Linked DNA regions of Arabidopsis thaliana. The protein of the gene in region 1 purifies or fractionates together with the protein of each later gene. This does not show direct contact. Each region holds a gene or a part of one and is shown on either strand. Other genes may lie near its edges.

The links.
Region 2: the proteins of PP2A (region 1) and NRP1 purify together in Arabidopsis thaliana (affinity purification with western blotting, with the first as the bait; one study listed by BioGRID). This does not show direct contact.

What each region holds. Positions count from the first base shown.
Region 1 is NC_003070.9:26,342,002-26,358,001, reverse strand, and holds PP2A (serine/threonine protein phosphatase 2A), read left to right. Parts: upstream 1-7,304; 5' UTR 7,305-7,490; coding exon 7,491-7,746; intron 7,747-8,174; coding exon 8,175-8,289; intron 8,290-8,375; coding exon 8,376-8,484; intron 8,485-8,581; coding exon 8,582-8,659; intron 8,660-8,744; coding exon 8,745-9,110; 3' UTR 9,111-9,281; downstream 9,282-16,000. Other genes in the region: AT1G69980 (structural polyprotein), read left to right, coding at 355-452, 546-678, 975-1,241, 1,324-1,443; CLE26 (CLAVATA3/ESR-RELATED 26), read left to right, coding at 3,746-4,102; PPME1 (Pectin lyase-like superfamily protein), read left to right, coding at 13,031-13,234, 13,325-13,600, 13,685-13,891, 13,964-14,202, 14,294-14,453; SHW1 (short hypocotyl in white light1), read left to right, coding at 14,920-15,087, 15,168-15,392, 15,513-15,578, 15,811-15,930. UniProt on the Arabidopsis thaliana protein: Associates with the serine/threonine-protein phosphatase PP2A regulatory subunits A and B' to positively regulates beta-oxidation of fatty acids and protoauxins in peroxisomes by dephosphorylating peroxisomal beta-oxidation-related proteins.
Region 2 is NC_003071.7:1,031,789-1,046,815, forward strand, and holds NRP1 (nodulin-related protein 1), read right to left. Parts: upstream 8,397-15,027; 5' UTR 8,185-8,396; coding exon 7,621-8,184; 3' UTR 7,300-7,620; downstream 1-7,299. Other genes in the region: AT2G03390 (uvrB/uvrC motif-containing protein), read right to left, coding at 77-136, 243-566; AT2G03410 (Mo25 family protein), read left to right, coding at 2,119-3,165; AT2G03420 (uncharacterized protein), read right to left, coding at 3,312-3,450, 3,601-3,697, 3,778-3,867, 3,963-4,149; AT2G03430 (Ankyrin repeat family protein), read right to left, coding at 4,404-4,538, 4,607-4,753, 4,829-4,953, 5,199-5,331, 5,566-5,748; PAP9 (purple acid phosphatase 9), read left to right, coding at 9,740-10,429, 10,516-11,781; AT2G03460 (Galactose oxidase/kelch repeat superfamily protein), read right to left, coding at 11,941-12,689, 12,782-12,806; AT2G03470 (ELM2 domain-containing protein), read right to left, coding at 13,906-15,027. UniProt on the Arabidopsis thaliana protein: Prevents accumulation of abscisic acid (ABA) after heat treatment, thus reducing thermotolerance. May be a negative regulator of the ABA signaling/synthesis pathway.

The DNA.
Region 1 (16,000 bases):
GACGTCGTGAACAAGGTCAACGACAACAAGAAGAAAGCAAAGTCAACACAAGGAGATGTTGGGCTTTGTAGTTTTGTAATAATTATACTATTGGGCTAAAGAAATAAATTAATAGGCCCAATGAATCAAAATGTTATGAAATCGGTTTACCATTCAATGGTAGACATAGGATTATGTTGGGATTCGATAGGATTAATTGAAACTATCGGGGCTAATTTTATAATTCTCTTAGGTAAAAGGTTTACTTGAGAAATAATGAGTAGTATCGGGGCTCTTATGTAAATTATCACATCTCTTCTGCGAGTTATTTTTGTTTCTACGAAGAAAAAAGAAGAAGAAGAAGAAACAACAAAAATGGCTTCTCAGAGTTCTTCACTTTTTCTGGTTATCTTCTTCATCTTCATCTACGCTTCTTCAATTCCATCCTCTATTCTCGCCAGAGCACATGAACAGTTTCGTACTTACAATTTTCTTCCAAGTTAATTTGAATCTGACGATGATCGATCTCGCTTGTTGACTCGTATTTGATTTATCGATCTCTACAGTGACGGAGATGAAGAGATCAGAAGCGTTGGGCGTAGATTCCTTCTAGGTTTCAAAGAAACTCCAAAAGGAAGTAATATCACCTTCGCTTGTTCTCCTTCAGGTCCTTGTGTCTCTTGCAATTCCTCCGAAAAGGTTTTTCAAATTTCCTCTCTAATTGCTCTGTTTTGGTATCGGATCTGTGATCTAGGGTTTCAGAACTAGCTTAATCTGATTAATCAGCGAAATTGATTATACAGTGAATTGGATTTGGTTAGGAATCTGAAGAACATTTATATGATCTAGATTGTTTTTTTGGTGATCTAGGGTTTCATAATCAATAATTTATCGGCCTAATTGATTATACAGTGAATTAGATATGGATTTAGGAATCTGAAGAACATTTATATGATCTCTTCTCTTTGTTTTGGTTGGTGTGGTTTCTTTTGTAGAGAAAAGAGAAGTATCGTTGCAGTGAAACTGGTTATCGTATTCCTTTCAAATGTAAAGAGGTTAGAGAAGAAGTGGATGCACATAAGAAAAATGGAGAAGAAGAAACACAAAATGATCAATCGAATAACAATGACGAAGAAGCGAAAACAAGGAATCTGTTGGATGATTCATCACCGGCGACGAAAGTGAAGTCTCAGTCTTACAAAACTTATAGAAGCTGTGTGCCATCTGCAGACGAAGAGAAGTTATCAGTTCTTGGTTTTGAGGTACAGAGAAACACTTACATTTCAACAAGTCGTTTCTTTTAGAATATGTGCTAATGTTAGATTGTTTTGAATAAATGGACAGTCGATTATGCTAGGACTGTTTCTGTTAAGCGGAGCTGCTATTTACATCAGAAAGAGACAGACGGTACCGATGCTTGGGGTATCATCAAGTGGAAGATTGCAAGGCAATTCTCGGTTTTGAAAGAACCATTTCTCGGTATGTAAAAGCTTTCATCTGCTCACTCAGAAACAGATTTAACATTTGTCATTGTCTGTTGAAAGATGAGATATGTTTGAGTGTATAGAATAGCTTTAGGGGGACTTCATATAATTGGGACTACTTGTTTCATATATGGCAACCATGTTTGGCTTTGATGATGTAACTTTGCTTATCGTCTCTGAACTTTAGAGAAAGCATCGATTACGGTGAAACGATGTCCTCACTTACCTTTAGTAGTTTGGTATATAGTATGATTGCTTGGTCTTGAACCTCGGTGATGAGCTTGCTGGTAGGAAGAGGTTAGTACAACTGTGCAATAGACTAGTTAAAGTAAGTAACGTATCATTCTTGAGTCCAACAGGTCCAACAGAAACCTTACACTTATCAATGTGCCTAAGAAATGTGGACCACGGTCAACGACAAACGAAGATACTATGAAGGATAGTGTCGCACCGTCAAAACTAATTTGCAGTGAGTAGAAGTATTAAACCAAATCCAACAAGTGACGTTGCATGTAAAAACGGTTGTAAAAAGTTGATTTAGTTTATAAAAAACGTATCTTCAGCATACAGTTTATCGTTAAATTTAAAAGTAATTATATGTAAATTGCGAGCGATGATAGAAATAGATTATATAACGTATAGTAATCAACAACTCTTGTAAATTCTTCGAGCAAATTTTCTCGTTGGGCAATGTTGAAGCCTGCATAAAAATAGAGACCCGAAGGATTCTTATAGACGGGAGTGGTCACCACGTTAGCAATGGAGATTGTTTACAAAGTTACCTTTTTTTTAGTATTTTAATCTCGTTAATGATAAAATGAATATGTAAGTGCCATTTTTTCAGTTACTTCGACTAGAAGCTAGTGAGTAACACACAAAGGCATAAGATTCTCAGGACAAATATACATTTAACTTTTTTAGGAAAGGTAATTTATTTTGAAGTGGGATTCATGTAAAATCTTAACAAATTTGATCGATGAGATGAATTATGCACTTATGCTTCATTGGCCCTATATTTATATAAACTATGGGATAAATTATGGCTGCTATGTGACAGTGATATAAAACATTATTCCTAAGGAACAATTTTTAATCATGGGTCTAGTCAATCTTGTCATTCTCATCTTTATTTCTGAAAACTTTAAAATGTGCAAATCTTAAGATACATAAAGAATGGCTAATGTTATTAACGCATAATTAATATGTTTTGTTAATGTACAAGATTGCTAATATCTCGACAGATCAACATATATTATTCGATGTTTTGCATAGGGGAGCTCTTATAATGATCTATTTTATTATAAATGGTACTAGACTACTAAATACATTAAAAAATAAAACGGTGAGGAATATAATAAGCTTGATCGGAACTAGGTAGATACTATATATTATGTATTGTGCCAAATTCGACATAAGGACATGCGTATACAATTAGTTATTATAGATATAGAAATTTGTGAGAATACGTGACGATAACTGTTTATGTTTATAAAATATGGTTATAAATTAGGTATGCATGGAATGGTTATGTGCTTAGCTTTACTTTTTGGATACGAAAGAGATGAATTGTACGTGAGAAAAGTACTAGAGGGAACCCTTTGTCACGTGTACTTCTAATAATCTAATATCATATGAGTACATTAATTTTAGTGATTAAGTAAATCTGCATGGAAATACACATTTGATATATATAAAGTGAAGGCTGGTAAATAAATTCCCTTCATGTCACGTTTCGGACCAGCTGTTCCATATTTCATTGTCTCTCTTTTCTCATATTTTTGGTCCTTAACAAAAAAACAAAAAGAGAATATTGCGTTTAATGTATATAATTATCCCTGCTATATATATTTATATTATTTGGGATATAATGAGGCGACATAAAAATACGGATTCATGCTTAAAGATAACACTAGTTATAAAATCTCACAGAAATATATAAAGATTCATAGCAGAAAATAATTTCTCTCTCTCTCTCTCTCTATCCTATAATGTTTCGAGTAAAGTTTGTAAAACATATTGAACAGAATAAAAACCATCGAACATATAAAGAACACCAACCATCCTAACTCAACAAAGTGATAAGACTCTCTTTCTTTCTCTCTCTCTCTCCATCTCCCTCTCTTTCTCTTGCTTTTGTTGTCACTCATCTTTGTTCTCTATTATAGTTTCCATTCAAGAAAATCGAATATAAACCCTACTACTTCGATCGATGTTCATATCTGTCTTTATTTCAACCAACCAACGAAGATAGGATAAAAACATATCCACAAAGGCTAGAAACCATGCGAAATAACCATTCCCTTCGTCTCCAATTGTGGTTCCGTACACTATTTACTGTTGGTGTAGTCACTCTTCTTATGATCGATGCGTTTGTATTACAAAACAACAAGGAGGACGACAAAACAAAAGAGATTACTACAGCTGTGAACATGAACAACTCCGATGCCAAGGAAATACAACAAGAGCTTGAAGATGGTTCAAGGAACGACGATCTTAGCTACGTAGCAAGCAAAAGAAAAGTGCCTCGTGGACCTGATCCTATACACAACAGGTTCTTACTACTTTCTCGTTTTATTTTATCACTTTTAACTAATCCTTACCCCTACCTGCATATATGTGTCTTGGATGTTTCTGTATGATATTTCATTAATATATAATAATATATGACATAAACCCGTGTGTGGTGCCACATTCATATTAGTTAGGTCTAAGTTCAAGGGCTATAAGCCTAAAATTCTCTACAACCCCATATTAGATTCCGTTATGTTCAAATTATACGCGTGGACCACTTGGTCACTTGCATTTCGACCATGGTGTTGTTTAACATGTGGTTTTTACCAAGGACATGCTCTTAGTATGGTCTAGATATAAATTCGATATTGAGATTAATGAATGACATCTAGAAATGACTATATTAGATGAAATCAAGCAAGCTAACTCGTTGATTGTCTATATGTTTATGCATGTTATAATAAGTTTTGTTTCGGGTCACCATAAATATACTTCTAGCACAATTTTACTAAAAAAACAAACACTTTGTTTCTTTTAACTAACTCAGATTCGGTGAGACATATCACAGAAGCTCGCAAAAGGCTGTCTGCTAGCTTTATTCAGTCTTTACGTTTAACAATCTATTTTTAATTATTCACTATAAGATGGCTTCTTTTAAAAACTTTCTTTTTTCCTTTATGGAAGCTTTAGCCCTTTGAACACTCCCTTTTTTTTCTTAGTTATATAGGTAACCCACTTATGATCACAGTTAATTCCATGTAGATCGTATTAAAGTAGTCTATTGACTAAATCACTAAAATATCAATTAATGAATTAATGTTGTATGATTTGTTATCGTTTATACGAAAGTAAAGAAAAACAAGAAAACATGACTTGGATTAAGTAACTCTATGTTCTGTCTTAATACAGGAGAGCAGGGAATTCAAGACGACCACCAGGAAGAGCATAAGTACGGTTAAAGCTTGGGTAAGAAGCAGAAAGAGAGAGAGAAGTATAATTGTTGGCAAATTAATATAGGTCTTGTATTGCTGCTAGATTCTCTTTTCCTTTCATTTGGGATCGAATCTTTTAAATATGCGCAAAATATTTGTGACCCTACAATTCTGTTTTTTTTTTTTTTAAATGTTTGTTTTGTTCCTATAGTGAAGAAATATTGAGCTAGTTAGGGGAGGTTTTAAAAAAATGAAGACACTGATTATTAAAAGGATTTCAAGAAAGAAAAGAAGTATACGTACATGCAATGCAATCCTGTTTTCTCACGCATTGCACGACTTATATTGGGATTATTTCTAATTTGATCCATCATCAAATAACGTTTAGATGCTTTATTTCCTTACTCACATTGTTTATTGGGTACTTGCACTAAATGATCATTAACATTTATTAAGTTAGGTAAATAATTGTGTACTCCTTTTATGTGCAAAAACACAAAATGGGTACTATTTTATTACTAACATGCTTTCTTATCAAATAGCAGTACCCTATGTTGTTCTAAATAACATGCTAATTCAATTCAGATTTGGCAGACAAAATAACATGGTATTTTAGAGAGAGCGCGCACAAGTGTGTTTTTTTAAAACAAATGAAAACATCATAATTACGTACCTGATTGACCCTTGTGTATATATTCACGATTAGAAATTGTAGATTACCAAAACACTCGCACAAAATGGTTCTATATATAGACAATATATGATTCTTATCACATGTTTTGAATGAAAAAAAAAGAATTAAGATGGATTTTTTTTTTGTAAAGAACAATTGTACTTTGAAAGAGTCTTATCCAATCATTAAAAAAAATGTCGAATCCATTATTTATTGATGTATTCTGAAAGCATATATTCTTCCAAAGGGGCAAATAAAAGAGATGTCGACAAAGATTGGATACATAAGATATTAATAATTTATAAATGCAATGGCATATATATATGATATAATTTGAGCTCTAAATGCCGAAATTTGAAAAGGAGAATGTGTGTAATGGTTCTTACAAATAAAGGAGACCACAATGCTTCTTTGTGTTATGCTTTTTTCCCATCTTTTATTCTTTTGTTCTTTTGTGGGGTTAACTCTACCACTACTCATTTTCTCGCTCTTTTTTCACTTATTTTCCATATATTTCTAATTTCTAAATTAATTTTACTAATCTTGAAATACAAAAAACTATTAGACTTAGCTTACTAATTTACTACACCACCAACATACACACTACGCAACATATGCTAATATGTATTAAAATGAAAAGAACAAAAAATGAGAACCGGTATTACAATTTATCGTAGTGTATGACTAGTTATGAGATGAGAAGGTTCTTGAAAAAAGAATTACTAACCAAATAATGTAGATTAATTATTTGCAAATAAAGAAAAGCAAGAATATATAGCAAAATCATGAGTTTACGGTTCGGCTCTATAAAATCTTCTACAACCATCCACGATAAACTTGATACATGAAATGTCTTCTTCCATTAAAACATGAGTTCCACATATAAAATGGTTTACAAGTAACTCTCGAACATATGTGCATGGTAAAGCAAATATATAATACCATTATTTTTTCTGTCTTAATTAAGCAAAATTAAACATATATATAATATATGATCCCTACATGTTCACTTTTAAAGTTCACAATTTCAAGAGTTTGAATATCTTTAATTTGAATTATTACCAAACGCATTAGACAGACTAAACAGAGACATAATAATCAATCAACTTCTTTTTGTCTTTTTTTTTTTTTTTTTTTTGGGCTTCCAGTCTTCATAATCAAAAGTAACTGAAGACCAGTCTTAAAGCTGGAACATTTGAACTAAACATATACGACTGCTCCTATCGCTCTAGAAATTTTAATTAACAATTATTCATAGTTACTTAATTACAAAGACAACAATAAAGGTGAACGAATAAATTAAAGGAAAATTATGAAAATAGTTTAATTTGTATGAAACTTTTCATCCGCATACCAAATGTCATATACTCTTATCTTACATTTTTCTCTTGGGACATATTTTTGGAGCGAACACTTTCGCATGTACGATAAGGTTCAGTGGTCTGAGCTTCGACTACGTTAAAATGATGATTAGGGTTTACTAATTTGGAATTAGGAGTTACATTTAAGGTTAAAAGTTTATGAGTTTCAAGTTTCAACGAAGCTTTAAAGTTTAAACGATGGTTAAAGTTTTATGATTATGGTGGGCTATGTTATAGTTCTTTCAATTTCGTTGGGCCAAATGGGCTAAACGATTAACGACCCTATGAATGGGCCTGAAAAAATGAAAGCCACGTGTCAGACCCCCACAATGGACTTTGACTCGGTGCGGCTGCCGGAGAGAATAATTAATTATCAACTCCGATGAAAAGAAAACAAATACAAAGTTCCAACAAAAATCGAAATTCACAATTTCTCTTCTTCTAAATCCATGGAGTGATGATGATGATAGATAGATTGAATCCAAACACAAACCGGATCCGAGATTAAAAACAATCCGGATTGTTTATATTTACTTTAGATCGGAGAAAGATGCCGCCGGCGACCGGAGATATCGATCGTCAGATCGAGCAGCTTATGGAGTGTAAAGCGTTATCTGAAACGGAGGTGAAGATGTTGTGTGAGCACGCAAAGACGATTCTTGTGGAAGAGTATAATGTTCAACCGGTTAAATGTCCGGTTACCGTCTGCGGTGATATCCACGGCCAATTTTACGATCTAATCGAGCTTTTTCGTATCGGTGGTTCTTCTCCTGATACTAATTATCTTTTCATGGGTGATTATGTTGGTGAGAGTCTCTCTTTACCTTATAGCTTTTTTTAGGGTTTCTACATTTCTCACATCTCTTGATTTGGATTTGGGTATTTTCCCTAATTTGGATTTGATTTTGTTGACCTTTTGGGGCTAATGTAGACTTATTTGGAAGTGTTTACTAGAAATGGATAGATTATTGTTTATCTATCGAAAAGTTTTGGTTTTGGAAGATTTTGTCATTGAAAAGACGAAACTTTTGTTTTAGCTGTTAACTATTCTCAGGGCTTCTACAATGGAGTAGCTTGACCTTGGGAGATATAACATTTTAATGTAGTTTGTGAAGCTTCATGTTCGAGTACTCGGATTTGTGTTTCTCTTTTCTCTGTTTAAGTGCCTTAAGCTCCGTTTCCTACTTAAGTTGCTCAATTAGCTAACTAATGGATCATTGTTAAACTTGTGAAGATCGAGGGTATTATTCTGTGGAGACAGTCTCACTTTTGGTAGCACTGAAAGTTCGTTACAGAGATAGACTTACTATCCTAAGAGGGAATCATGAAAGCCGTCAAATTACTCAAGTGTAAGTTGTTTTCTCTACTAAGTTTTGTATTATAAGCTTCTCAGCCTCTCTCAAAATGTTTCTTGCTGATTGCTTACCTTTTTCAGGTATGGGTTTTATGATGAATGTTTGAGGAAATATGGAAATGCTAATGTATGGAAGCACTTCACTGATCTTTTTGATTATCTTCCACTTACAGCTCTTATTGAGAGTCAGGTATTTAAAAAACTAATGAGCGTTTTCACTACCTTAGACAATCTCTTCTCTGTTTCTGCTGTTTTGGACTTGACTACAGAACTCTTTTTTTCTGTAGGTTTTCTGTTTACATGGAGGACTTTCACCTTCTTTAGATACACTTGACAACATCCGATCTTTAGATCGAATTCAAGAGGTTAGTTCCAGAATCCAAACCAACAAAAGGATGCACCTTACTTGATGTTTACATAACGAGACTAAGATGTTTGTGTTGCCTCTAGGTTCCACATGAAGGACCAATGTGTGATCTCTTATGGTCTGATCCAGATGACCGATGCGGTTGGGGAATATCTCCTCGTGGTGCAGGCTACACTTTCGGACAAGATATCGCTACTCAGTTTAACCACACCAATGGACTCTCTCTGATTTCAAGAGCACATCAACTTGTCATGGAAGGTTTTAATTGGTGCCAAGAAAAGAACGTTGTGACTGTATTTAGTGCCCCAAACTATTGCTACCGTTGTGGCAACATGGCTGCGATTCTAGAGATCGGTGAGAACATGGACCAGAATTTCCTTCAGTTTGATCCAGCTCCACGTCAAGTCGAACCCGAAACCACTCGCAAGACTCCAGATTATTTTTTGTAAGTACCAAAAGAACTAAAGCTGCAATTCCACACACTAGCTCTTCGTCTCTTTTGCTTCTATTCTTAACCACTTTTTGTAATTTCATATTCCTTACGTCTATTTCTGTTTGTTAAACTCTCCATTGTCTTTTAAAATCCGTAATTTTTTGTGTGCAAAGATTCTGGTCCAAGTAACTGAAACCGCTATCACCAAATTCTATTGAAGCCAACTTTGTACAGAGAAATGATGATCATGTTACACAGCAAAAGCCCTAGCTAGGTAGATATAAATATGAATGTTGTGGAGAGGTACAGACAATAAACAAACAAGCTGGAGCTGAGATCTAATCTATAGAAAAACAACACTCAGATCAAAATAAGATGAATCGAGAGTTTCAAGAGCTTTCTAGTTCGCTTTGGATCCAATCTTGTGCACACATCAAGGCTTGCACGGTACTCGGTCTAAGCGAACGCCATGTTTCACTAACCCGTCTCCTTTGACAAGTTTCAAAGGCGTCTTCTTCTGATGATACATTCAACATTGGAACTGCTAACACGTTACGTGCCATCATGGAGAGAATTGGGTACTTAGGTGTGTGAACTTTCCACCAGTTCAGGATGTCGAAATCTGAATTCCGGGGAAAAAGTGGCTCTTCTAGATACTTTTCTAGATCTGATTTAGAGTCTTGACCCGGTGTAGTAGTTGTTTCGTTAATGTACCTATCGAATTCTGTGAGTCTATCGTCAGGCTCTTTCCCATGGGCAACACCGTTTGACCGATGATGATGATTCTGCCAGTCAAGAGCTTGATTTGACGACGCTAATAGCGATCCTACAGAATGCTCATCGTACAGCAGTTTGATGCACTCAGAAATATCTTCAATGAGCTCTGAAGCACTAGTACCATAAAACAGAGGGTAATAGTATTCAACCAGCTTCATTTTGAACCGCGGGTCTAATATGGTAGCGATGGCTAGAACCAGGTAGTTTTTATCCCAGAAATCGTCAAATTTCTTTCTCATGTTTACAACTAGAGAGCTAATGAAATCATCCGGGTTCTTGCTCCACTCAATTAACCGGAGGTGTATGTCGCATACCTCTGGGAAGTACATATTGGCGGGTAAACAACTGCTCTTTGTGAATGCATTTATCACTTCAACAAAGACTTTCAAGAACTCAACAATTGTTCCTAATCTCTCCCATTCCAAATCAGATGGACATAACACGGAATCAGGATCATGTTCATTCATGAGCGAAAACGCGCTCTTTTGCTCTAAAGCATTCTCCAGCATGGTGCATGTTGAGTCCCATCTCATTGGGTCATCGATGCATAGGTTCCTTTCACTTACAGCTCCCGTTTCAACTATCCACTGGTTGAATCTATCTTGAATAGATTCTGAGCTTTTAACATATCTAATACTCTCTCGAATAATGTTTATTGTGTCACAACAAGCTTCCAGGGAATCTTGAACCATCTCGTTAATGACATTAACTCCACAGCTCACATCAAACAATTGGCCGTAACAGTAAAGGAACTTATTCTGCGATAACCGGTCTCTGATTTTACTAGCTACGTTCTCACTAAACGGAGGAGCATGACTCGACGCCATAGAAAACAACTTCCGGTCAATATCCCACTCCATCAAACACGTCATTATAACTTCAGCAAGCATCTCACCACTATGAGATGGATCAACCATAAAGAAGTTCAAAACTCTCTTTTTCAATTCCCATCCTTCATCAATATAATGCGCTGCCAAACACAAGAATTCATCAGAATCACCCGAACCACTCCACACATCAACACTAATACTAATCTTCCCAGGTAACTTATCCAACGCTTCGAAAATCTTATGCTTCTCTTTCGCATAAATCTCCATACAATCAGATTCAACTCTTTCAAAAGCAACAAGCTCAAACAAAGGCTGTAAATTTCCAATAAACATTCTGAATCCAACATCTTCAACCATACTCAACGGATAACCATGTAAGATAATCATCCTGGCTAAATCGAATCGACACCGCCTCTGATCCAAACCCATACTCACAACATTAACATCTTCATGTTCTTCTTTCTCATGTTCATATCTAACATTCACTACACTAAGCACTTCTTCATCCTTTATCCGCTCATTAGCTAACTCTTTCTTCTTCCCCTTAACGAAATACTGAGCAACACCGTTGTTGTTACCATTAGTTCTCCTCCTACATCTAATCAAATGGTTCCTCAAATGCGAAGTCCCGCTCGCGCTTGAGCCGCTAAGTCGCTTCTTACAATGCCTGCAGATTGCAATGTATGTCTCACCTTTTCTAACTCTATCGAAATCATTCCACACTACTGATTTCAATCTACCAGATTTTACAATCACTGCATCTGACAAATCCATCTCATTGTTTATCATCAGTTTCTTCTGTCTCCTACACATGTAAACAAATAGCAGAATTTTCACCAGATAATTCGAATTCAAACAACGAAACCAAGTTACACAAAACCTAAAATCTCATAGTTTCCATTTGCATAAAGCTTTTAAGAAACCATCGAATTGTCAAGAAAAAAGGTTAGAATCTGAGCTCTAAAGCACATGTACCTCTTCATTCAAGTCGCAGCGGTAAGCTTCTCACTGGTGGTTTAACGGCGGCGAAGTCTCTCAGTGTCGGTGGTCGCGGCGGTAGGGTTTTAAGAAGAGGAAGAAAAAAAAGCTGAAAGCTTTTCTGTTAGCGAGAGATATTTTTTTGAAACGGCGAACAAAAAGTAAATTTACGAAATGAGACCTTGGATTCATGTAACTTTAGAAATATAGCCCAAAGTTAGTTTATCATCAAAATTGTCCTTTTTTTTAAATCTAATATTAAATTATATTCAAAGAAAAATAAACTTTTATACATGTAAATGCAAAAGACTTTTCTTAAAAATTAAAAGAGATATTATCGATGGTGTTATCTTGTCAAAGCAAACCACGTTTGGATCCCGCCTTTGTATTTCTCACAACTCCCTCTCCTTGTTGTCCTTAACTGGTTTCTAATGTTTTTGTCTATCAAATTGTACTTTTTCGATTGCTTATGTTCATATAAACACACTTCTCTCCACGTCGCAAGGTTTGAGCCTGAACGTCTGCGATATGTTGTTCATCTTGTCGAACATAGAGCCGCTTTGGAAGCTCGCAGTCACTGCTTTGAAACCCCTCTCCGCGTTGTTTAAGTAACTAGAGTTGTATGACTCAGCTGCTTTTGAATTGTGGAGCCGATATTGAGGCTCAGAATGAAGTTGGACATACTTCTCTAAGAATTGCTCTTCAAAAATGAAAATCTCGATCTTTCAAGTAAATTTGTTTATCTTTTAAACTTTGTTGTGAGTCTTTGTAAATGAAAAATAACATGTTTATGTCCTCTTGATTGCAGCTTCTTCTTGAAAGAGGTGTCAATCTGAATGCTTTTAATTTTTATTTGCATAAAGCTTTTAAGAAACCATCTTTATAAATATAGCCCAAAGGTATGTTATTATCAAAATGGTGTTGGTGAACATGTTGATGTTGTTACCTCCTCGGATGTGTCTCTCGACATGGATTTAATCAAATTTTTTTTTTAAATTGTTTTTTTAATAAACTTATGGTACATAAATTAACAGTTGTATAGTCTTATCAAAATCACAAAAAAAAAAACGATGTAGTAAAAATATTAATAGTAAAATCTATCAAGAATTAATAAAATATTTTGAAAACATACAAAATTCCAAGAGAAATTATAGCGGGTTGCAAAAATGGATCACCACAAACAATAATAGCAAACGAGAACAAAACTCAAAACAATTTAGGTCTCTGAAACAGTATATATACTCATGGCCATCTTTCCATCAAATCATCCAGAAAAAAAAAACGAAAAAAAACAAAAAAAAATAATAAAACAAAAAAAACTTTTTATTTTTAAATAAAAATAAAATAAAAAATGGGATACACAAATGTGTCCATTTTATTAGGCCTGTTGATGGTCTTTGTTACACCGATGGTGTTCGCAGATGATGTGACACCAATCCCAGAGGGCAAACCCCAAGTGGCGCAGTGGTTCAATGCCAACGTTGGTCCATTGGCTCAACGTAAAGGCTTAGATCCTGCTCTTGTAGCTGCTGAGGCTGCTCCACGTATCATCAACGTACTATTCACACTTATTGTCTTAAACTCATCCTTTGTACCAATAGATTTTGATACAATTTTTTTGAAAAACATGTAAAAATTATTGCAGGTGAATCCAAAGGGTGGTGAATTCAAAACACTAACGGACGCAATAAAGAGCGTTCCTGCAGGGAACACAAAGCGGGTGATCATAAAGATGGCTCCTGGTGAATACAAAGAGAAGGTCACTATCGACAGGAACAAACCCTTCATTACATTGATGGGACAACCCAATGCCATGCCTGTTATCACCTATGACGGTACCGCCGCCAAGTATGGAACCGTTGATAGCGCCTCTCTCATTATCTTATCCGACTATTTCATGGCCGTTAACATCGTCGTTAAGGTAAGTGATCCTACTATATATCATACATCTATGTGACTAGTCGACTATTTCATGGCCGAGTGATTTATTTTTTTGCATATGTAGAACACTGCGCCGGCACCAGATGGTAAAACTAAGGGAGCACAAGCTTTATCCATGAGAATCTCCGGAAATTTTGCTGCTTTCTACAACTGCAAATTCTACGGTTTCCAAGACACAATCTGTGACGATACAGGAAACCATTTCTTCAAGGATTGTTACGTTGAAGGAACATTCGATTTCATCTTCGGAAGTGGAACCTCTATGTACTTGGTACGTAACATCTCATACTTATTTCTTAATACATAAAGTGCGAGATCTCTAATGCATGTTTGAGTTCAAAAGGGAACACAATTGCACGTGGTTGGAGACGGTATTAGAGTGATAGCAGCGCATGCAGGAAAGAGCGCAGAAGAGAAGAGTGGATACTCTTTCGTGCACTGCAAGGTGACTGGAACCGGTGGAGGAATTTATTTGGGAAGAGCATGGATGAGCCACCCTAAGGTTGTTTATGCCTACACCGAGATGACCAGCGTTGTCAACCCCACCGGATGGCAAGAAAACAAGACTCCCGCACATGACAAGTAAGTCCCACTTTTCACATTACATAAAAAATCGTATGAATATCACCCAATCGGTCCATGTCCTTTATGCTGATTATATCAAAAATGACAGAACCGTGTTCTACGGAGAGTACAAGTGTTCAGGACCAGGATCACACAAAGCCAAGAGAGTACCATTCACACAAGACATTGACGACAAAGAAGCTAACCGTTTCCTATCCCTCGGCTACATCCAAGGATCCAAGTGGCTTCTCCCACCACCCGCTTTGTAAACTCTTCAATATCAAGTCTAAAATCATATTTTGCACATATATCACTTTTAACAAAAAAATTATTTTTACATATATCACTTTTAGCAAACTTTTTCTTTACCTAGTCGTCACTACTTACGACCCTATGTATGCTTTTATGCAAAGAACCGAGAGGTCGATAATCTGAGAAACATATAAGCAATCGAGACTTAGCCGAAATAAATTGATTTTCTCTCTCAAATAAAAGTATAAATGGTACCCTATATTTATGTAGCTTTTCTAAAATAGCCGAGGTTTTATTTAATTATCAAAAAAGTCTTTTAAGTCTAAAAGTAAAACTCGGTCACGACCAAAGTAAAAACTACGAAACAGTACCTTTTGTTTATGTATACTTACAAAAGTATCCCAAATGTATTTAATTATCAAAAAGGTCCGTTTTAATTACAATCACTGAATAATCATCTGGTGTTACTCTCTCTGCTCACAAATGGCCGCAGCTACAACAACCTTATCATCATCTTCATCATCACCATCGCTAACTCTCATCAATGCCTCACACAGATTTGTCTCTGTAACTCCCTTCTCTTCTAACTCTATATTCCTCCGCCGCCGATTCCGCCGCCTAAATCGCTCACTCGCTTCGTCTAGCTCCCACGTACGTTCTGATTATCTCCTACTCATAGAATTGTGTAATCCGAATCCGAATCCGAATTTACTCAATCTCTTTATCCTTAGTCGCGTAGGCGATACGAATCAGACGATAGATTCTTCGGCGGTGGTGACAATTACGATGTTGTTCCCGATGACGACGGATTTAGCGACGATGATGATGAAGAAGACGAAAGAGAAAGCAGTGTCGATCTTTTGATCAGATTCTTGAGAAGCATGTTCAAGAAAGTCTCGAAACGAACTAAAAAAGCATCGCGACGGATTTTGCCAGCTGCCATGTCTCCTCGACTCGTGAGTCTCTTCTTCTTCTCCATTAAAGCTTTTAAGTGTTTCTTCAGTTTTGTGGGAAATTTTGTTTCTTTATCCTCAAGTTTCCACTTTTGATGTTTCCTCTGTTTTTATGATTTGCAGGTGTCTTTTGCAGTAGATGGGATATTGTTATTAGGTTCACTTTCCATTACAAGAGCATTTCTTGAGGTAATCTTTTACCATTTTGCTTACTTAATTGAATCACTAGTATCGAATCGTATATGGTTTGATTCTGTTTTGTGTGATTGGTTTTTGAGCTTTCTTGTTGAAGCTAGTTTGATCTGATAGTTGCATTGGATTGTATGTGTAGCATACACTATTTATGAGCGTTTATGAATTAGAGTAACTTGTTTTAGTTGAGTGTGATCTCATGGATATGTGTTGCTAACTTTTATGGAAGGTAATATGCAATCTAGGAGGAACTGTGTTTACGGTGATTCTGCTGATACGGTTGTTCTGGGCGGCAGCTTCGTTCTTCCAGACTTATGGGAACTCTTTTGGACCAAACCCGGTAAATTAAAACCTTGTTTTACTCCCATTTGGGTGTGAGATGTTGTAACTCATGTCTTGTTACGTCAATTGGTAAAGGG
Region 2 (15,027 bases), on another chromosome or scaffold:
AAAGCTAACATCTTTGAATGATCAAATAGTTCAAAACTTATTGCACTTAAAGATCATATCATAGCATTTCATATACCTCAGTTAGCTTTTCTCTTAGTTGTTGCGCAATGTCGTACTGCTCCAGATTCATTGCATACTGCCATTTCAAAACACACCAATCCACATATCATTCAATATTGTAACACATCAAAACCATTAGCAACCATCTTGAAAGAGATAAAAACCCTGCATTTAGTCTTAACCTGTACACGAGTAGCCAAATCCAGCTGAAAGAAAAAGATCAATATATCTTCATTAGCACTCTCGCTTCTCTCAGAGCTCGGGTCTAAACCTTGTTCACCACCTCCTTGAAATGGCCATCTAGCTTCAACCCTCAACAAATTTCTTTGCTTTAATGACTTCCAATGGCTTCTAAAGGACGGTGATTTACGCAAAAACTGACACGAAACACATCGATCACCGATCAAGCTTGAAGCTTTCACTGAATTTAAACGATTCCTCAACAAGCTTGAAACTTTTACACTTCCACAGATTGTTAATGTGCTTAACGACTGACTTTGAACCATTTTATTTTATCAAGACCGATAATATTCCTACAAAACTCAACAAGAACTTGTCTGAGATAGCAAACTTGTCTAAGATTCAAAATTGAAATCGAAACACGAGTCAAAACCTTCGAGTAGACAGCAAAACGTTTGTTGAATTGAAATTTCAAGAGACTTACTAATTGGTTTAGAGAAATTCAATAGATGCCGGAAAGACTTTGCCGATCACTGGAGAAACTCGCCGGAACGACGGAGAGTTTTCGTCCTCACAGATTTTTCTTTCTTTTTCGTTGAAACTTAATGCCTCTGGATAGATTATTTATTGTTTTTAACTCTCCTTGGGCTCTAAGGCCCAATTTAGGCCTCATAAAGGCCCAATGTTTGGAAAAGAAATACGGCTGAAGGAGACAAGCCGATTACGAAAAAAATAAATACATATCCAAACACACATCAACAATCTATGCTAAGTAAGTTAAGTTTTGGTTCATGCCTACAATATGGTGCTCAACTGAATGTCACATGTCTTCTTATATAGAGAAATCCATAATCTTTCAAGCTAAGATCAATTTTCGTAGATAGAGAGTCGAGATCACTCTGCATCATACGTGATCTCATTCTCTATCTGCAAAATTTGTTGAGTCCGTGAATTTTTTCAAATTTAATATGATATAAGCTAATAAATAGTTTTGAAAGTATAGAAGGAATGTAGTTATTTAAAAATCAAACATATATATGAATATACATTCTAAAAATAAATTTCATGAAAAATTTGGTAATTGTCTAAAATTATAAAGAAAAATAGATAAAACCTTTTTAAAAACATGAGTATTAGATAAACATATGATATATGCAATAATCTAAAAGAGAATTAAGATATAACAAAAAACTCCAAACATAATTAGCAAAACAATTGTGGTGAAAAAATGCAACTATTTGTGAAAAAGTATGAAAACAAAAGACTTTTAATGAATAGACACAATTTTAAAATATTAAAATTTTGAAGAATTATTAATTTAGAGAAAACATAATTAGATAATTAGTTGACTAGAGATATGGACTGTGTAGAATAATAAGCTTCAAAAAATTGTTTAATATCTAATTGACATCAAAGATTCTTCAAACTAACCACAACGAAAATTCAGCGCGGCAAAATTAGCCAATCAAAGACTCCATTTTTAGGTTTTGTTGTCTCTTTCTTCTTCCTTTCTTCAAAGAAGAAGATTTCATAGAAACAACATTTTTGGATTTCACAGCGAAACCCCTGAAAAAGCTTTTGAACAAACCCTAGAATAAAAAGATAGAGAAAGGCATAGATTTTGTTTTTGCTCTGTTTTTCTTTTTGTACTTTGTTTTGAGGTCAACAAAAAGGAGAAACATAGGTGCGTGTGTCTCCATAATCGGTGGTGCTAAACGACACGGAAGCTCCGATTTAGCTCCGTCGTCAAAGCACCGCCGTACACGGAGCCATCTACGCGTCGGATCCACCGATGATGAATCCATCATCAACATCACATTTAGCGGGAAGCTTAGCAGTTTAAGCGGGAACCTCGGAAACCATGGAGGAAGCACGAGAATGAAAGGTCTCTTCAAGAACAAATCACGTCTTCCTGGTGAAATCGTACGTCAGACTCGAGATCTCATCGCTTTAGCGGAATCCGAAGAAGAAGAAACCGATGCGAGAAACTCGAAAAGGTTAGGGATTTGTGCGGAGTTGTGTCGAAACATTAGAGATTTGAAATCGATTCTTTATGGTAATGGTGAAGCTGAGCCTGTTCCTGAAGCTTGTCTTTTGTTAACTCAAGAGTTTTTCCGAGCAGACACGCTTCGTCCTTTGATCAAATCTATACCAAAACTTGACCTAGAAGCAAGAAAAGACGCGACACAGATTGTCGCGAATCTTCAGAAGCAACAAGTCGAATTTCGACTCGTTGCTTCTGAATATCTTGAATCGAACTTAGATGTTATCGATTCGTTAGTCGAAGGTATCGATCACGACCATGAGCTGGCGTTGCATTACACGGGAATGCTTAAAGAATGTGTGCGGCATCAGGTTGTTGCAAAGTACATACTCGAATCGAAGAATTTGGAGAAGTTTTTCGATTATGTTCAGCTTCCGTATTTCGATGTAGCTACCGATGCTAGCAAGATCTTCAGAGAGCTTTTGACGAGGCATAAATCGACTGTAGCGGAGTATCTTGCGAAGAACTACGAATGGTTTTTCGCAGAGTATAACACCAAGTTGTTGGAGAAAGGAAGCTATTTTACGAAGAGACAAGCGTCGAAATTGCTTGGAGATGTGTTGATGGATCGTTCGAATTCAGGTGTGATGGTAAAGTATGTGAGCAGTTTGGATAATTTGAGAATCATGATGAATCTTTTAAGAGAACCAACCAAGAACATTCAGTTAGAAGCATTTCATATCTTTAAACTCTTTGTGGCAAACGAGAACAAACCTGAGGATATCGTGGCGATTCTCGTGGCGAATCGGACCAAGATTCTTCGTTTGTTTGCTGATTTGAAACCTGAGAAAGAAGATGTAGGTTTTGAAACTGATAAAGCATTGGTTATGAATGAGATTGCTACACTTTCTCTTCTCGATATCAAAACCGCAGATCGATAAGAAAAAGAAAAAACCTGTTTGTACACGATGCCTACATGTATTTTTGTTTTGTAACCATTTGGATTTGGATTGTGACTTAAACAATTAGCATAGATGATTCTCTCTAAAGCCATTCTTGCAAACAAAAAAATACAATGATGTGTGTTTTATTCAACACCAGTCTTCTTTTTCAACATTGTGATGAATTTCTCCTTTTCTTCATCTGTCATTCCTGTGGTTGAGCAATCTCCTACTCCCCATTCTGCTCCTCTCAGACAATATTTGTCTTGAATCTCTCTTTCATTCCTAACCAAAACAGAACACCAAAACCAATGTTACATGTTACAATGTTACATCTTATAAGACCAAAAGGGTATATGTAAAGTTTCAAGATTTGCACATTGTTGGCTCTGTTACATCATAAAAGACCAAAAGGGTGTGTGTAAAGTAACTTACTTTTCTTTGTTGAGTTTGGAATTCTCAAGTAATTTCTTGAGAAGTGGAGAATCTTTGAATCTGGCATCGTTCTCTGCGTAGAACTTCTGGTTTTTTGCTGCAATTAGCAAGCTTTTTCTTAGAGCAGAGAAACACAGTTTTTTTGTTCTTGAATTCAAGAAATTGAAAGATTGGTACCATTGAAACGGTCAAGGAACTCGATTTTTGGTAATTCAGGACCTGGAACTGATTCTATACCGGGAGATCCCGACATTAAGCCTGCTTCAGCTGAGGACCATCCATACATATACATATGATGCTGATGATGATGACACGCATATACATTGAATCACAGGAAAAGTATTGAGTAGTAGTGTAGTTACCGGTACAAGGAGAGAGGAGAAGGGTGAGTGAGGCAGCGAGAGGGAAGGTGGACTTGCAGAGAAGATGGTGAAACGGGGATGGTGCTGATGATGATAGAGCCATGGAGATACGAGGATGATGAATTACTCTTGGTTCATAGAGACTAAAGCTTGGTCGAGAGAAAGAAGAGATTTTTGTTTGCATCATTTTGCCTTTAGATTTTTGTGAGGAGGGTAAGTGACTCTTAGGAGATAAGAAGGATATATATAATTTTTAACCAAACAAAAAAAAAAACTTTTTTCTCACTTGTTTCCAAAATTGCTTTTGAGAAAATTTCTAAAGACAGAACATGAATTGATAAGGCAGAAACATTTTGCAAACATGATACAGTAAAGAAAAATCCTTTTAAGTAACTAAACAACTCTCAGAGTTAGTAAGTTTTAAAGTAATCCAGAGTCATTTTATCCTTCAAGCATGGCCTTAGCAGCATCGATAAGTGCAGGTCGGAATTCATTGGTAGCTCGGCCTAGAACAGTGTAGCCTTCCTTGTCTTCTACATCCACATCTGCACCATGTCTTATAAGCAGGAACGCAACCTGATCCATGGAAACTTTTAACTTTAAAGAAATGTTGCTTTTAAGGTTGATTAGATTGAAAATTTTACCTGTTTGTCATCGCAGATAACTGAATGCATGAGTGCAGTTTGACCCATTTTATCCGTAGCATCGATCTCTGCTCCTTCTTCAATAAGAAATTCACAAACTTCTAACTTTCCCACGCTTGCTGCCCTGTGAAGCGGAGTGCAACCAACCTAAAAGCCACACAAAAAAAAGTTTGTTTGTGTGTTGATGATCACAAGCAACAAGACATTAAGAAGCTACAAAACCTTGTCTGTGATGTTAATCTTTGCACCGTGTGTTAATAAAAGCTGAGCAATCTCCAACCGGCCTTTGCTAGCAGCATAGTGAAGAGCAGTGCGACCACCGTTATTTTTGGCATTGACATCAGCACCTAAACACAAAGAAAATGTCATCAAATGTATCCATCTTCTCATACATGCAATGAATTGAAGTTAGAGCTAAACACTGGAAGAACTACTTCACAGTAGGAACTTATATGTCCAATTCCAATGGAGGACTATTAGATATTAAGAGATCAACTACTCAGGACTGATAAAGATTACAGCTTTATGATAGCAAAACAAGATTTTACCACCGTTTCAACAACAATAAGGCACATAAGATTATGTAACATACCTCTGGTCAAAAGCACCTCAACGAGCTCAGCATTACCGATGCTAGCAGCGGAATGCAAAGGAGCCCATCCTTCATCATCCTTGCTATTGATTACAGTCTTTGCTTCATCTGAACTTGATAACAACTTCACTATCTGCAAATCCCACATCCATAAACATTTTTACACATACTGACACTGTTCCTAAAACACACTAATCTCAAGAACCCAAACAACGCAGATTCGTGTGGTTTTCAAAGCGAGACTCAAAAACTTCCCTTAAGGCTTTCTCATCAGTTAAACAACCTATTTACTGCAGCTATAGTAATCAAAGAGGTTATCTAACCACAGATTAGTTCTTAATATGATTGAAAAGAGAAAGGAACAAACTTGAGAATGGCCGAAGGAAGCAGCGACATGGAGGAGAGAGCGACCATCTTCGTTTCTGAAATTGAGAGATTTAGAGAGCTGTTCTTCAGATAATGACATGAACAACGATGAATCTCCCCATTCCGCTGCTTTGAACAACTCTTCGTCTCTCATCTGCTTTGCTGTATCGGTTGCAATTTCCATGATTGATCAAAGCTTCTTCTTCTTCCAAAGTTCGAATTCAGAAAATCCAGAGAAAGTGTACAAAAGATCAAAGACAAGAGACCCTAAATTAAAATTAAAACAATTTCTCCTAAAATAAGCAGAAAAAGATTAATTTCCCAACAAGAAAACAAAATGGATTCGCATATTGGGCCCGTTTATGGGCCTTTTACACAATCTCAGGACTTGCGTTTGGTTTATCTATCCGCTTTCAGTTCGTATTCATTCGGTTTTCAGTTTATTTTTCTAAAATTTAGTATTCATTCGCTTATTTTGAAATTTTGTTTCGCTATCGGTTTTGGTTCTTTTGGTTTCAAAATTTAGTATTCATTCGGTTATTTTGCTTTGAATATATTCGGATATTCGGTTATTTTTGGATATTTTCGGACATTTTCGGTTATTTTTGAGTATTTTTACTACTTTATCTATTTTCAGGTATTTTTAATTATTTTATTTGATCCAAAAATAATTAATATTTTAGAAAATATAATTATACTAGATTTTAACCCGCGGTATACCGCGGGGACAATTTATTTTTTAAAGTTAGTATATATAAAAATTTGTAAATTGTATCTATCTATAAAATATTTTATTTTATAGTTTACAACTGTTATTAAGTAACGTCCTCCCAAACCCGTCTCGCAAAACCCGTTCTGCAAAAAAAACCATTTATTTTATTAATGTTGATCTTATTTATGAATCATTGTCTAAATATTTTAGTCGATGCGGGATGTTGAACCCACACATTTTTTCGCCAATTGGTTAATATATGTTCATTTTTAAAAATTTTAATCACAAAATATGACGGAAATTTTTTTGAGATTTTTTTAAACTATATATTATATAATGATGTTAAAATTTTTGATATATTAAACTTTTTATAAGTTTAAATATTAATAATGTTTTATAAAGTTTAAATATATAAATATTTTAAAATATTTTTGCTTTTTAGATAATGACATAATAACTCTAAAAGCAAAGATTTAGAAGATTTAAATCGTTAATTAAATATTTTTCTTTCTAAATAATTAATTTCAGTAGCATGACATTGTAAATAAGTTCAAATACATGATTTATTTATTTAAACAAAAAACGTTTAGTAAGAATAATATTTATTTAAACAAAAAACTTTGTTTTAAAATATTGTTAACAAATACGTTTATGCTAATTTTAAGGGATTGATGTGAAGTTTGTTTGGATTAAATTTGATTGATAATGTGGTTGACAATTTAAATTAAGAATTTAAAGTAAAATTAATTATTTCGGAAAAAAAAAATTAATGCTAATGGCATTGAGTTGTAAATAAGTCCAACTCTAAGATTTATTTGTTAAAATGGCTGCAAAAATGTATTTATAGATTTCGGATATTTTTGATTATCCAAAATATTTTGGTTCCGTAGTAATTCAAGTTTCGATTCTTTTGATTATAATGTTTAGTAATTATTTTTAAATTTTTGTTTCGATTGACTTTATTTTGCTTTCCTATTTCAGTTCGATACATTAGGTTTAATTTATTTGCCAAAACCTAAAAATTATCATTTTCTTGTGTTTTTCCTCCTTCTTCTCAGGATAATAATTAGTTTATTTATTTTTAGACGGTCCATTTAAATTCGATATTAATTAGTATTACTTCCCATAACTTAAAGTTCGGTTCTAATTATACAAATATTTGATTAACGCAATCTCGAGTGGTCAACAACATGATACATGATCTTTAACATCATAATTTCCTCCATCATACACAAATGACAAATCCAACAGTTAATAATAATTCAGAAAAAACAACAGCTTACTAAAACAGTAATTATAGAAGATAATTACTAACATAATTATTTTTAGAAACTAAAACATTACTCACTTCATAAAACCTTGAGCCATCTTAGCATAATCTCCAAACCCATGACCACCTCCGGACTTCTCATCTTCTTTCTTAGCCGCCGGTGCTCCAGCTCCACCACCGTGTCCTCCAACATTACCGTGGCTTCCAGTTCCACCGGTGGAGGAGTGAGAGTGGGAAGTTTCGTACTTGTGAAGATATTGTTCAGCCTTTTCAAGGTACTGACCAACACCGCTCTTTTCATCGAGCTTACCGTATCTAGAAGCGGCGTCTAAGATATCAGCGGTGGCTCCGGCGACTTTGGCTTTGTCAAGCTTGTCTGACTCGTGACGAGCAGCGGCTTGAGCAGCTTCGGCTACGATCTTGGCACTAGCCATGAGCTCAGCGTTCGTAGCCGGTCTGTGTGTTGTTGGATCGGTGTTGGAGACCGGTTTATGTGTTGTTGGCTCGCCGTGACCGGGTTTATGTGTTGTTGGCTCCGTGTGACCGGGTTTGTTTTTGTTGTGGTTTGGCTCCGGATCAGAGCTCTCCGGTTTCTTGTCGGAGAATTTCTTCTTTACTTGATCGGTGAAGAAATCCATGTTTCTTTGTTTCAAAGGAAAAGTTTTTTCTTGTTCTTGAATTTGGTAAACGTACAATAACAACTTATCCGGAGGATGATATTTATTGAATTTCTTGAAATTAGGTTTTTGTTCTTTTTCTTTGTCCACTAGTTTTTGGTCTTCTTTTTCTTTATCCACTAGTTAATGGGATATTTATAGTCACGATTCTTACGCCTTAGATCTACTTTTCGACTTTAGTGAGTGAATTTTATTCTCTTCCTACGTAAAAAAGATGCTTGATTACATTTGACCATTTCGCAAAAGTCGACCCTCATAACCGGTCTTGATAAATTCTTTCTTATTATCTTTGATTCTTGATCATAGAGTTACTTTTATTGGTGGATGGGTACTTTTAGTTTTGGGTATTTGTTTACCTATGTAAATGCTAGTATAATCTTGGATTCTTCATCATAAATGTAGAGTTTATACTTTATAGGGAAGTAATATTTGGTGTATTTTACTACACTTAAAAGTTTTAGTATTGGTTGAGGTTTTGATGAGTGGCACGGAAAAATGGGTCCTCATGCCACGTTCGTCCGACTATCCAACTCTTTGACCATTTATGATTTTGTCGGCAGAATAATTAAACTATTTGAAGATTGGTAGCAGAGTTTAGATGAGTTTTGGATGGGCCTATGAGAAGAGAGCTCATATGGGCTCATTAATAGCCCATTATTAGATATATATTCTGAGCCCAACTTTGTTTGATACATTCCATTGAACGTTGTCGTATGTGAAGAAAAGGATGTGGTCATTTCCATCACACTTACTAATTTTTTGTCAACAAGATGACCACATTATTATGACAGAACAGAAGTGAACAAAAATCTAAGTAAGACCAAGAAGAGTAAACTGTATTTATATATGTAGAAACTTGTGTAGTATAGTATATATAAGAAGCAGTGAAAGCAAAGTATGGAGAAGAAGAGAAGAACAACAGGAGGTGAAATTTCAAAGGAGTGGCATGTGAACACATATCCTATGGTTTCTTCAAATTTCCATTGAAACCATTGAGTTTTGTGTTCTCAGGTCACCCCTTTGAATCTCCCCTGTTCCATTTTTTCACCTTACTAATTTTTTTTATTCATACTCTAAATTTGTGAGCTTTTGTGCTTTCTTTTTTTTTGGTCATAAGTGAGATTTTATGCTTTTTTGATTACACATTTATTATAATGGAACCTCTATTTTGTATCTGAAACAGAGACAAAGCATTAACCATATCCTACATATATACCTTAACAAATTAATGACAACTCTGGTTTCCAAAACAATAAATTATGTATGATTTGACAATTAAACTGGTTGATAAAATGTAAATTTGGAATAAATAATTAGTTCCATAATATATGTTTTTTATATCTAAAATAGCATAGTCTTTTGAAGGTGAAAAGTCATAAATCAGGTTTGGTTTCAAACAATGACTTCATAATCACTCAAAAAACTCTTCTTAATTATCACCAAAACCCCAAAACCAACTAAAACTGAAAAAACAAACGTTGACTTTTTGACTAACCACCATCCTCCGCCGTAAATCATGATCGCCGCCGTTTACACTCTCTTCTTCTTCTTCCTCTTAATCTCCTCTGTTTATTCCAAAGCCACGATTTCAATCTCTCCCCAAACCTTAAACCGATCCGGCGACATAGTCGTGATCAAATGGTCCGGCGTCGAATCACCGTCCGATCTCGACTGGTTAGGAATCTACTCGCCACCGGACTCTCCTCACGATCACTTCATCGGCTACAAATTCCTCTCCGATTCACCCACGTGGCAATCCGGGTCGGGTTCGATTTCACTTCCCTTAACCAATCTCCGATCAAATTACACTTTCCGGATCTTTCATTGGACCCAATCCGAAATAAACCCGAAACACCAAGACCATGATCACAATCCTTTACCCGGAACTCGTCATCTCTTAACCGAATCAAACCAGTTAAATTTCCGGTTCGCTGTTAACCGACCGGAGCAGATTCATTTAAGTTACACAGATAACATCAACGAGATGAGAGTAGTGTTTGTAACCGGAGATGGAGAAGAACGAGAAGCTCGCTACGGTGAGGTTAAGGACAAGCTCGATAACATAGCGGTGGCGCGTGGAGTTAGGTACGAGATAGAACATATGTGTCACGCGCCGGCGAATTCTACAGTCGGATGGAGAGATCCAGGTTGGACATTCGATGCCGTGATGAAGAATCTAAAACAAGGGATTAGGTATTATTATCAGGTAAGTAGAATCAAAAAACCTTAAAGTTTGAATTTTTAGGGGTTTTGAGAATCAAAATGTTGACTTTTTTTTTTGTTATTGATTAGGTTGGGAGTGATTTAAAAGGATGGAGTGAGATTCATAGCTTTGTTTCTCGAAATGAGGGTTCAGAAGAAACATTAGCTTTCATGTTTGGTGATATGGGATGTTATACACCTTATACAACATTTATCCGTGGAGAAGAAGAAAGTTTATCAACTGTGAAATGGATTTTAAGAGACATTGAAGCTTTAGGTGATGATAAGCCTGTGATTGTATCACATATCGGAGATATAAGTTATGCACGAGGTTACTCGTGGATTTGGGATGAGTTCTTTACTCAGATTGAGCCTATTGCTTCTAAAGTGCCTTACCATGTATGTATTGGTAACCATGAGTATGATTGGCCTAACCAGCCTTGGAAACCAGATTGGGCTGCTTATGTTTATGGTAAAGATAGTGGTGGTGAATGTGGTGTACCGTATAGTGTTAAGTTCAACATGCCTGGTAATTCAACGGAAGCTACTGGTATGGTTAAGGGACCTCAAAGTCGGAACCTTTACTATTCTTATGATATGGGTTCTGTTCATTTCGTTTATATTTCGACAGAGACTGATTTTCTTAAAGGTGGGAAGCAGTATAGTTTTTTGAAGAGTGATTTGGAGTCTGTTAATAGGAGTAAGACACCGTTTGTTGTTGTCCAAGGGCATAGACCTATGTACACTACGAGTAGGAAGATCAGAGACGCTGCTATAAGAGAGAAGATGATCGAGCATTTGGAACCGTTGTTAGTGAAGAACAATGTGACGGTTGCTTTATGGGGACATGTACATAGATATGAAAGGTTTTGTGCGATTAGTAACAATACTTGTGGTGAACGTTGGCAAGGAAATCCAGTTCATCTTGTGATTGGTATGGCTGGAAAAGACTCACAACCGATGTGGGAACCGAGAGCTAATCACGAGGATGTCCCGATCTTTCCTCAGCCTGCTAACTCAATGTACCGTGGAGGCGAGTTTGGGTACATTCGTTTGGTTGCTAATAAGGAAAGACTTACTCTTTCTTATGTGGGAAACCATGACGGAGAAGTTCATGATGTTGTTGAGATTTTGGCTTCTGGGGAAGTTATTAGCGGTAGTGATGATGGTACTAAAGACTCAAACTTTGGATCAGAATCTGACTTTGCAGTCTTGTGGTACATTGAAGGAGCAAGTGTGATGGTTGTGGGAGTGATTTTTGGGTACTTTGTCGGTTTTCTTAGTCGTAAAAAGAAAGAATCTGGAGTTGGATCATCTAATCGTAGTTGGATCCAAGTGAAAAACGAGGAGACATGATTCAACTGATTTGTTTTTGTTTGTTTGTTTGTTTGTTTGCCACACAGATTTGTATATCAAATTATTAGAAGTGAAACAAGAGACAAGACTCATTCATCAGAAGTTACATTCACCAAAAGAACACACAAGTATTCCAAAAGAAAACACATTCAAGTTTCATCAAAGAGTAACATCAAGAACCTTCTCCAAAACAACATATCCTACAGGTTCGGTAAGCACATCACCAAACCACTCAACAATCCCCCAAATTTCACAACTTTTGCGCCTTTCAAGCGCAATCTCTGCACACCGAATCATCTTCTTATAGCCGCTATCAGGTCCACGAGAAGGCAACTCCTCCTCCCACAAAACCGTTAATTTTCCTCCATAATCAGCCAACTTAACATTGGCACCAGAACCGAACATAGGTAGTCCTACCAAACCCTTCAAATCTCTCCACATCATTGCGTTAGTGTCATACCATCTGAACACTCCATGAGTACAAGAGTACAAAACATTCTGTATCTCGCAAGAAGCTGAAAACTTATAATGATCCATTTGTTGGCCAACCATGTCCCATCTACCTTCCTTGGAATTGTAAGCAACCGCCTCTCTTTTTTGACCTACAGGCACCACATGGAACTCTCCGTCAATGCATGCGGTTCCGCATCCGTAAAAATCGCCTTCCGTCTTGCTGCAAGTAATGGTATCAGGATCCCAAAATTGTGTTTCAGTGTCAAACACCTCGAACGAATTCTTATAGGTGTAAGAATCACCATCCAAGCAACTTCCTGCTACGTATATCTTTCGATCAAGGACACTAGAAGAAACAGAACATAGCCCCTCACGCAAGCTTGGAGCCTCGCGCCACGTGTGAGACCGACAATCAAGAATGGAGACGCTTGAAGAGGACTCTAGGTAGCTGGATCCTGCAATGTTATAGATATTAGAACCAACAGCTACGAGACTAGAAGAGTGCAAAGGAGGAGAATGTAAATTTGAGACTCTAGCCAAAACATACCCGCTTGACTTCTTGATGGTGCCATTGGTTAGGGTTTGATCAGGTTTCCGACAGAGGGTGAACCAGGTAGTGTTCGTATGACGATCTTGGAACCGTGAACACACATAAAGACAACTCTCGGTGTTGCCTAAGAGTGACCGGACCTTGTATAGCTCTGGTGAAGCTAAGAGACATCTAAAGCTCTTGGAGACGAGATTTAGAGTCGGATAGTACAATCTTGAGACGCGTGCAAAGATGCTCACTAGCACATCATCGGGAAGAAGGCTAAGTTATCTATCTGAAAGTTCGTGGAATTTATTAAACCGCGTGCAAAGATCCTAAAGTTGTCCACAATTATAAGCGAAATATTAGAACTGGTTCATGTTTATAACTTCTCTATCTTCTGCTGCAAATTTCTTGGCTGGTTTAGTTTGGTGTCGTCATAACTTAAAGGAAAGAACAAAAAAGCAGAGACTTATTAATTGATAAAATTCTCAAGAGTGTCATTAATTTTCAGTGGAGCTGATACATGTATTTGAAAATACTTTCACAAGCTCCTTCATTTATCCTTGGACTTTGAAAGCTACTCTTTCACACCTTTTTTCTTTTGGTGAGGACTCTTTCACACATTTTGCCTATTCATGTAAAACATATCCATTAATTTGGTAAATTGCATCAACATGATTCACCTGTTTGCTCTTTTGTGTGGAAGTGAACCTGGTTCAAAGAGAGCTTCTCAATTGCTAATATATATTTTTGAACAATTTTGTTGTCACAATTCTTATTTTCTTTCATTTGTCATCTTCAAAATATGCAAAACATATCTAGAGAAGATTTTCACTGTTAAGACATTTGAAGCTGCAAACAAAAATTTGGATAACTTAGCATTTTTTTTTCTTTTCTTTTTATACCATAATAATGTACATTGAGATCTTGAGGACTAAAACAACTAGAGAAAAAAAGGTTCATGGATTTGAATAGCATTTTTTACAGAGTCAAATCAATCAGGAAGTCCTTTCTTCTTCAACCTTAACCAACACAAAACTCCTAAAGATGAAACTTTCAAACTTCTGCATCTTTATCTAATTCACTTAAGAAAAAAAAAATCTGCAGAATCCATGAAAGAGGAGAAGAAAACTTTTTATTTACTTCTCCTTCAAGTTATTATCATCTTTATCTCCCCAATCGTCTTGACCAAATATCTCCTCAATAATGTTTGAAGTTGGTAGTAGATCGTTGTTCTTGTTCCAACAATCTGATGTGAATCTCTGATCATCAAATGAATATGAATCTTCACCAGATCTGTGGCACTCTCTGTTTTTGATTGGGTTGTGACTGAAGATCAAGTTGGAGTCTTGTAACTCGAAGGACATACATGAGTCGTCTTCCACATTTACTTCTTCACCAAAACCGTCTCTTGAAGCCTTATCCGTATCTACACAATGAGCATCGTTACTTGATGAGTCGTCTTCCTCTTCTTCTTCTTCATCATCATCATTGCTGCTGGTTTCTTCTTCTTCCTCGTTATCTTCATATGAGGAGCGATTTCCATTGTTGTCTTCCTCATCTAAAGATTTGGTGCTGTTAAAAATGTTGTATTCAACTTGCCACTCGTCATCATCACTGTCAACATCTAGGGCTTTGAACCGATTCTGAATACCCCGTCTCCGCAAGATGAAGACATTGAAGTAGTAGCTAACCAACTCCTTCATGGTTCTTGAAGGAAACGTTCCCTTTAATTGCTTCCAGAAGTCACGACCCGCTGAGAAAGGATTGGAGTATACAACCTTGTGAAAGAGATCTTCTTCTTCCTCTGTCCATAAACTCGCAACTTCCTCCCCCATCTCACATAACCCTAGCTCCATAAACCTTTCATATCCAATAGTTTCAACCAAACTCTCTCTGGCTTCAATGATATGTCGCCGCACACATCTAATAGAGCCTTTATCTAGGCAAAGACATTCCTTTCTTCCTTGACCGGTTCCACAAAGGTCAGAGTCAGACATTGGTATCACACACTTTCTCATCAGCTTCCCTTCTAAGTCCTCCTTAGTTCGAGCCTCTGACTGATCAAGAATCTCTTCCTTGACAAACTCGGGAATATCCGCTTGATGATTAGACCCAACAAGAACTTGTTTCCTAGGAGGTTGATTCATCAAACAAGTATAAACATCTTCCACTGGCTTCCAGGTGAAATCTGAACCAGAAGATTGATGAGAAAGATCTGACTGAGTCGTCACTCCAGACTGAGAATCTTCCTGACACAA